2 linked regions of the Sus scrofa genome follow. Each later gene encodes a partner of the first gene's protein in a complex. Links are inferred from orthologs where the notes say so. Each region holds a gene or a part of one and is shown on either strand. Other genes may lie near its edges.

Evidence for each region.
Region 2: the proteins of PRKAA1 (region 1) and PRKAG1 are in contact, whole or in part, in a crystal structure (PDB 6C9H), measured with the Homo sapiens proteins. The link is inferred for Sus scrofa from reciprocal best matches to the Homo sapiens genes PRKAA1 and PRKAG1. Residues at the interface, in NP_006242.5 of Homo sapiens: Ser295, Ser296, Thr297, Met298, Ile299, Asp301, Glu302, Lys305, Arg342, Glu347, Ala348, Phe351, Tyr352, Leu353, Arg369, His371, Pro372, Glu373, Pro376, Phe377, Asn449, Val451, Thr452, Thr536, Pro537, Arg538, Gly540, Ser541, His542, Thr543; in NP_002724.1 of Homo sapiens: His36, Asp40, Leu41, Ile42, Pro43, Thr44, Ser45, Val50, Leu64, Val65, Gly68, Val69, Arg70, Trp75, Ser77, Lys78, Lys79, Gln80, Phe82, Pro158, Glu159, Ser160, Gly161, Asn162, Lys170, Arg171, Lys174, Phe175, Leu178, Phe179.

Annotation. Positions count from the first base shown.
Region 1 is NC_010458.4:25,759,334-25,762,981, reverse strand, and holds part of PRKAA1 (5'-AMP-activated protein kinase catalytic subunit alpha-1), read left to right. Parts: intron 1-3,352; coding exon 3,353-3,497; intron 3,498-3,648. UniProt on the Homo sapiens protein: Catalytic subunit of AMP-activated protein kinase (AMPK), an energy sensor protein kinase that plays a key role in regulating cellular energy metabolism.
Region 2 is NC_010447.5:15,047,348-15,051,095, forward strand, and holds the start of PRKAG1 (5'-AMP-activated protein kinase subunit gamma-1), read right to left. Parts: upstream 2,273-3,748; 5' UTR 2,233-2,272; coding exon 2,224-2,232; intron 2,153-2,223; exon of another isoform or gene 1,966-2,152; intron 1-1,965. UniProt on the Homo sapiens protein: AMP/ATP-binding subunit of AMP-activated protein kinase (AMPK), an energy sensor protein kinase that plays a key role in regulating cellular energy metabolism.

The sequences.
Region 1 (3,648 bases):
CAAAAAATACCAGAAAGCAATTTTGTTAAGAGGTCTATTTAATAACCAGTTCCTTTATTCATATATTTGCCTAGAATCAGAGACTGTTTAGAGCTAGGAAGGATCTTAAATATTATCTCCGTACTACTTACACAGATATGGAATCTGAGACTGACAGTTTATATATTTGCTTAAGGTCACATAATTTATTGACGACAGAATTGGATTGAGATTCCAAAACTCATGATCTTCAGACTTAGCTTCTGGGGCACAAGGATAATTTTAATATATATCTAAAAGTAGGTATTTAGTCCTCACAAAATATGTTATTAAATACTTAAAGATCGAGGCCTTGCTAGTCAACCCTAGCCACATTTAAATTGCATTCATTTTTTGGTTTCAGAAATCTGGTGTACCTGGAATAGTCAGAACAGGTTCTGTGAAGGAGAAATTAGACTTAAAGAATTCAGAATTGGAAGGAACTTTAGAAGGCAGTTTTAACAGTATCTTAAGTTACAGATACCAAAACTGCACACTACCCCCCATCCATACTTTTTCTCAACTTGGGGTATGTAGTATGCAAAAACCTCTTTCCAGAAGAGCAGGTCGAGCATGGAGAAGCCAGTTTTTTTTCCCTCCCAATTTAGAGTTCTTATATCATTCATTCATTTGTTCTATATAGCACATCTGTTTACTTTCATCAAAATCATTAGCCAAGTTAATTTTAATTTTACCATTTTTTAACATGGTTCATTTCAATTTCAAGTGTTTTATCTGTCTTTTCAGTCCCCCTTCCTCCTCCAATCTCCCCAATGTTCTGCCCCAATGTTCTGCCTAGAGAAATGGGAACAGACATAAGTTGGATTGATATCTTGCTTTCTTATCATTTCTCTTCCTTTTTTCATGTCTTGATCATTTTGTTTTACGTTACGGATATTTCCCTCAATTTTGCCTCTTGCATATTAAAATTCCAGCTGTCATTTTTCTATTTCAAAGATCTCTTTCTTATTTTCTGAAATTGTCTTTCTCAAATTAGCCTATTTTTTTGTTCCATTGAGCAAATAAACTTATCTATATGAAGATGGCAATTAGTTTAAAAAAAAAAGTTTTCTTCTGTTCCCTACATTGCCTCTGTGCCTTCTGTGCTCCCTGCTCCCTGTTCTTCTGTTCATTTTATTGGTCTTTGTCTTTTGTACATGGCTCTTGCTCAGATGTCTGGTGATTCTGGGTTGTGGGCCCATATCTGAGAGTGAAATACTAAATGCAAAGCTCATGGTGGTAGAACTTATTGATTGGTGGGTCTTCCCATAAGTTGAATAGGTAGGGACCTGCCCATTTGATTAGAGAATGTCAATAATTACACATATTTTGGAATTTCCATTGTGGTGAAGTGGGTTAATAATCCAGCTTGTCTCGTGGCATTGCTGGTTCAATCCCCAGCCCAGCTCAATGGGTTAAGGAATATTAGCACTGCCACAGCTGTGGTGTAGGTCACAGATGCGACTGGGATTCAGTCCCTGGCCCTGGAATTTCCCCATGCCTTGGGTGCAGCCAAAAAAGGAGAAAATGTATAAATATTTAGCTGCTGTAGAAGAAACCTTCTAGTTTCCTTGTGGCTATTGGCTTAGCTGCCAGTGCCTCTGCGAGCTAAATGGGGAAAGGCTAGCAAGCCTCACTGGTTAGTATGTTGACTTTCAATGAATCCCCACAATTTCCTTCTTGTGCCTTGTTCCTACATTGGTGTCCTTAAGAACAGAGCTAGTTCAGCCTTACTAAGGAGTAAATCATGGGTCTTATTCCTCAGTAAGTATGAGCTTAAAATGTCTTTCTTCAACCAGTTGTCCTGTTGTCAGCTCACTTCTCATTTCTACCTTCAGCCCAACACCTTCAATATCTAAGCCCTTTCAGGGGTCTGTGTGCAGCTGAGCTTATCACTGATTTCCACCCCTAAAGGCTTAGGAGGTTCAGCTTCCTGTGGTTGGCCAGCACAGCACTGTTCATCTTCTGTCTAGCTTAGTGACTCCTCTTGATTAGTGCTGTCTCTTCTCTTGCTCTTTTGTCTTTATATGCTATCATTTTAGTGATGTTTCAAAAAGTGGAGACCAAAGGTTCCATCTGCCATGTTTAAATGGAAATATGCTTTGACTTTTCTAATCTTTCTTTGTAGACTTCCCTGCCTTGATCTCTGTCCCGTATTTATTATTAATATAGTATAATTTTGATTTTTATATTTTGTTTAATCAGATTTTCTTCTCTTTGACATTTAGAACAGATTTTTTTCCCATTTAGTATATTTGACATGAAGTTGTATTAAAAAATGAACCTAGAAATAAAGGCATTAGATTCCTCTGGAGGAAGGGTGTCTCTTAGTACTTTGATAATTTTACTTATACTTTCAAAAGAAATGACTGTTTTCATCTTCCAGATTTTCAACGCCATTTAATAGGTGTAAGAATCTGGTTTTATAATGCTAATTTGTGACCTGTGTTAGAGAATTGTATATTAGAGTCCTTTGCCCAGGGGATTAATAGCTCATTTATTAAATATAACTTCTTGGGAGCAGGCATATCCAAGTAATGGTTTTCACTTATGGAAAAAAAAATTAATAAAATAAGCAAATAAGGATAAATGGAAAGAGAAGTTTTTAAAGAGTATTTTAAAAAACGTAGTTATAGCATAAAGATATGATTTTTTCAGTAAACAAAGATAAATGTTGTATTTTGTAAAACAAATTAAAAAAGGTTTTTATTTCGTTAAAACATCTTTTATTTTAGGAGATATGATAACATGGTCATGCTTGCAAATTCATTAATAATGCTTAAATGTTGCTTTCTCATGTGGTCCAAAACAGTATTCCCCACCCCAGTATAAACTCTCTGTGCCCTTATCCTGCTTTATTTTTCTTCAAAACACTGTCACTCTTTATGTGTTTATTATCTATTTTCTGTAACTAGATTAGGGCCTTGGTTTTATTCATTGCTATATCATGATTGTCTAAAACAATGCATGGCCCATTGAAGGTATTCAATAAATAATGGTTAAAGGAATCAAGGATTAAATATTTGTAATTTATAGGAAAAAATGCTTAGTTTTAAGTAAAATATGAAATTATTTGAAATAGTGCATGAAATTTAGATGGAAGAAAGCTTTTAGAGTGTAGTCAGAAGAGTGGTAATATAAGAAAGCTGAGTTCCTGACTTGGGTTCTAAGTCCCTCCTAGCATTTCCGTTTGGTGCTGTCTTTATATTCTCCCCAATTCAAAAGTATCTTGTGAAGGTTTCTTGCATTTTCCCAGTTTTATTGGTTGGAGAATTATAGGTAGAATAACTTCTTTTAAAGACTCACCTTTAAGATATCTCTCTACTGTTCTTAGCTGGATGAAAAAGAAAGTCGACGTCTCTTCCAACAAATCCTTTCTGGTGTGGATTATTGTCACAGGCATATGGTGGTCCACAGAGATTTGAAACCTGAAAATGTCCTGCTTGATGCACACATGAATGCAAAAATAGCTGACTTCGGTAAGGAGATTTTTATAGTTTGATATATTCATTATGTTTAACAAACATCAATAGCATTATTCAGATAACTTATGCAGTAGACCGAGTATCCCAAAGTAGTGTATCCTCACCATTTTGTCTATGTACATACAAAAGGAGTGAAAATAAGGAA
Region 2 (3,748 bases), on another chromosome or scaffold:
GGTAAGCTGCTATGTTAGAAATGTCTCAAATCCATCTCTCTCCTTTCTACTTTCACAGCTTTAACTTAGCCCCCCCCCCACTTTTTTTCCCCCCGCCACTTTCAAAACATGTGAAAGTTCCCAGGCCAGGGATCAAACCTGTGCCACAGCAGTGACCTGAGCCACTGCAGTGACAATGTCAGATCCTTAACCTGCTTGTGCCACAAGGGAACTCCTAAGCTTAGCCTCGTACATGCCATTTCTATAGCATTCTCTAAACTGGTCTCCTTGCCCTAAATCTATTTCCTCTTAATTTGTCTTCCATGCTGGCACCCAGTTCTCTCCCCAAGTACCTCAGATTTGCAAGGGACTCTCATCTCCACCAACTAAGAACTCACTACTTTCTGAAGTAGCCCCATCCATTTACAGAAAGCCATTAGGGACATGCCTAAAGCATACTCACTACCTTGCTCATAAACCTTCCGTGGGTCCCCTTGTTACAAAACAAAAGTCAGGAGTTCCCGATGTGGCACAATGGGATCAGTGGCATCTTGGAAGCACCGGGAAGAAGGTTCAATCCCCAGCCCCCTACAGTGAGTTAAGGTCTGGCATTGCTGCATCTGTGGTTTAAGTCAGGTCTGTGGCTCAGATCTGATCCCTGGCCCAGGAACTCCAAATGCTGCAGGGTGGCCAAAATAAAAACAAAAACAAAATTCAAACTTAACATGGTATGCAATACCTTCAACCTGACCTCAGCCTACTTTTAGTCTTTTCTCCAACTGTGACCAAAATCCAAAACTCCAGCAACACCAAACCACTGGCTCACCCCCAATTAATCTCTACATACCCCAGTTTCTATGCCCTTGCTCACACTGTTCTCTCAACCTGCAATGCCCTCTCCTGGGTTCACAGTAATTTCTCCCTTCCCTATGCTTCCACAGTCCCCTTGTTTGCATCTTGATGATGGCACTGATTACAGTCTACCTGAAATAACAGCTGTCACTGCTTGCCCTCACTCCCACTCCAGTTAAGCTGAGCATTTTCAAAGCAGGGGTTTTCTTTCTCCTTCTTCTTAAAACAATTTCTATTCTAAGAACCTAAAGTATGAGGGCTAAATTAGAAAATCCATACAAGAATGCTCTGTAAACCATAATACATTTCCGAGTAAAAAATAATGTTATTTGAAATTTAGTGGAATCAGATCTTTTATTCTTGCTCAAAATGCTCTTAATTTGTAACTCCCTTGCCTGAGTGGCCAGTTGCAAATCGTAATTTACCACTTTGGTTTTGTTTCCTCTGTATAACCTAAGGGACATGACCCCTCTGCAGGTGGAGAAAAGGGTTACAGTAAGGAAATTAGCCTGGGCATGTAACTGATCCAAAGAAAAGTGAACCTGCAGCCCTCACACAACTACAGTAGCAGATGATCCAAACCAAGATGGGCATATCTGCCTGACAGAAGAGACATGGTTAAGCACTGTCGGAGAGGTAAGGGAATGGAAAAGGCTCCATCCAGAGTGCTAGACCAAGGGTCCTGAGAGTGAGGGTGGGTCCAAATAGGTCGAAGGCAACCTGCAGCAACTCTGGGAGGATGACACGGGCCTGCCACAATCCGTTAATGCCTGCTTGCCAAGAAGGAGCTATGACAACACATCTGCTTAGAATCGCAGAGCAGGGCATGACCTAAACTATTCCAGGGACACAGTGGCCTCTAACACTGAAAAGATTCCCTCCTTCAGGGAAACCCCACTTTTCAGTCTTATCAAGGGATGTGACGTCGCTGGACACCTCAAGGCGGTATAAAAGGCTTTCAGACGTCCCTCCTGCCAAGGATTCCACGAATCTCACTCAGACAACTGGGCACCAGGTGCTACCTGCAAGCGAGGGACCCTCTGAACCTCCTGCCTCACCCAGCAAAGCTGGATCACAACCCTTCTCTCTCAGGCAAACCTCTCAAGGGCTTGTGGTGCTAAAAGGAAAGGAGACCTGAGATCGCCAGGGTGCGTGTGGGTTCCAAGGAGGGAGCCGGGAGTCACTGCCCGCTCAGGCTAACAGTACCGCGGACGGAAGGCAGGCACTGACGCGGCCCAGTCCTAGGAGAGGAGAAGAAGCGGAGCAGCAGGGTCATGGAATAGGACAGACGCGGGGCTTCTCTTTTCCTGGGCACCAGCGCCGGCTTCCCTGTCCCCTTACTGGGGTCTTAGGCTCCACAGCGCCCCCCCACCGCCCTCCCGCGCTCCTCACCGTCTCCATTGCGAGACGCCGGCTGAGTTCGTTCGTTTTAGGAAGCTCGCCCGGGGCGGGGGGCGGAGAAGGCCCCGCCCCACGTCCGGTACCGCAAGGCCACTTCCGCTTACGTCGGGACACACGCAAGTCAAGAGCGGAAGGCGGGGAGCTTACCCTTCCGGCGTTGCTTAGCCTCAGAAACCGCCCTCCCCCGGTCCACACTGGGACCTCGCTGATCCCACCGACGGCGAGGGTGACGGGACGGAGCCGCTTGTATTTAAAATGTTCTTTTTTTTATTTGTCGTTTAAAAACAAACTTGGAAGAAGCAAAATCCAAAACTTGCCCTTTGCCTCTTGCAACATAAATTATGTACAGTTCAGAATGATCGCTGATACAAAACATGCCAAGGACAGGGGCGCTGGGGGTGGAGGGAGAGAGGGCGCTTTAAAAAAGGGAATCATTTCATCCGTTGTTACGAAGGACCAACCTTGCTGTACAGGATACACACAACACAAAATAAAGTCTTCACGGGATTCACACTTGTCAGAGATTTATTTTTTAAAAAGGGGGAGGGTCCTGGAGGTGAGGGGAGAAGACCGTAAAGGGGAAAAACTGAAAATTGAATATGTGCAAGTGTAAACCAACCCAAAATACAAACACGGGGGTGGGGGTGGGGGAGGGAATTCTGATGCAATTATACAGGCGGGGTACTTAAAAAAAAAAAAAAAAACCAACAACCAAAATTCCAACCTTGTAGCTTGGGTCTGAGTTAGTTTATATAAAAATTAAAAACTGTATAAGGTTTCTTCACTAAATTCTACAGGACTATCGGATACCTAGCATACGCTTACAAAGTCTGCCCCATCCCCTTTTCCCAATCCCAGGGCCCAAGCCCCAACCAGGGCCTGACTCACTGGAGCCAAATCTCCCCATCCCTGGAGCCTAGACCTTTTGCTCTTGGAAAAGGAACATCCAATGGCTTTGGGGTCAGCAGCCCAGTCTCCCCACTGTCTGATTTCATTACAGTGGTTTCTGTGGGGGTGGGGGTGGGGGTGGGGGTGGGATGTTATCCTCTTAAACATTTGCAGCTTGAAACAGTTGAGGAAGCAGCTTAAAAAAAAAAAAAAAATCTCCCTACCCCCATCAATCCGCAACCCCCCAAATTCAAAAACAAAACAAAAACAAACCTAAAATCACAACAGCGACCGTGCTCCCCCTCCAGCAGGCCTGCCCACACACCGCCACCAAGCCCACCCCTACACTCCAGATATTTGATTCTTGAAAATATTAATTACAAAATGCCCTTTGCCCACAGCCCCTAGGAGAGAACTGCATATAAGCTTCATCTTCATCCCCACGGCTCCCTACCAGAGAGGGGTCTGGGGCCGCATCTACCCCCGGACCTACCCCTACCCCCAGGAAGAGGTTCAACTGCAGCACAAGCTTGGGCAGAAAGGGGAAGGAAAGGGAGGCAGGGGAACCCATTACCCTCTGGCTCCCCCTGGGGCCAGCTCACTTTTGTGCGTTATAACATAGTCCAAC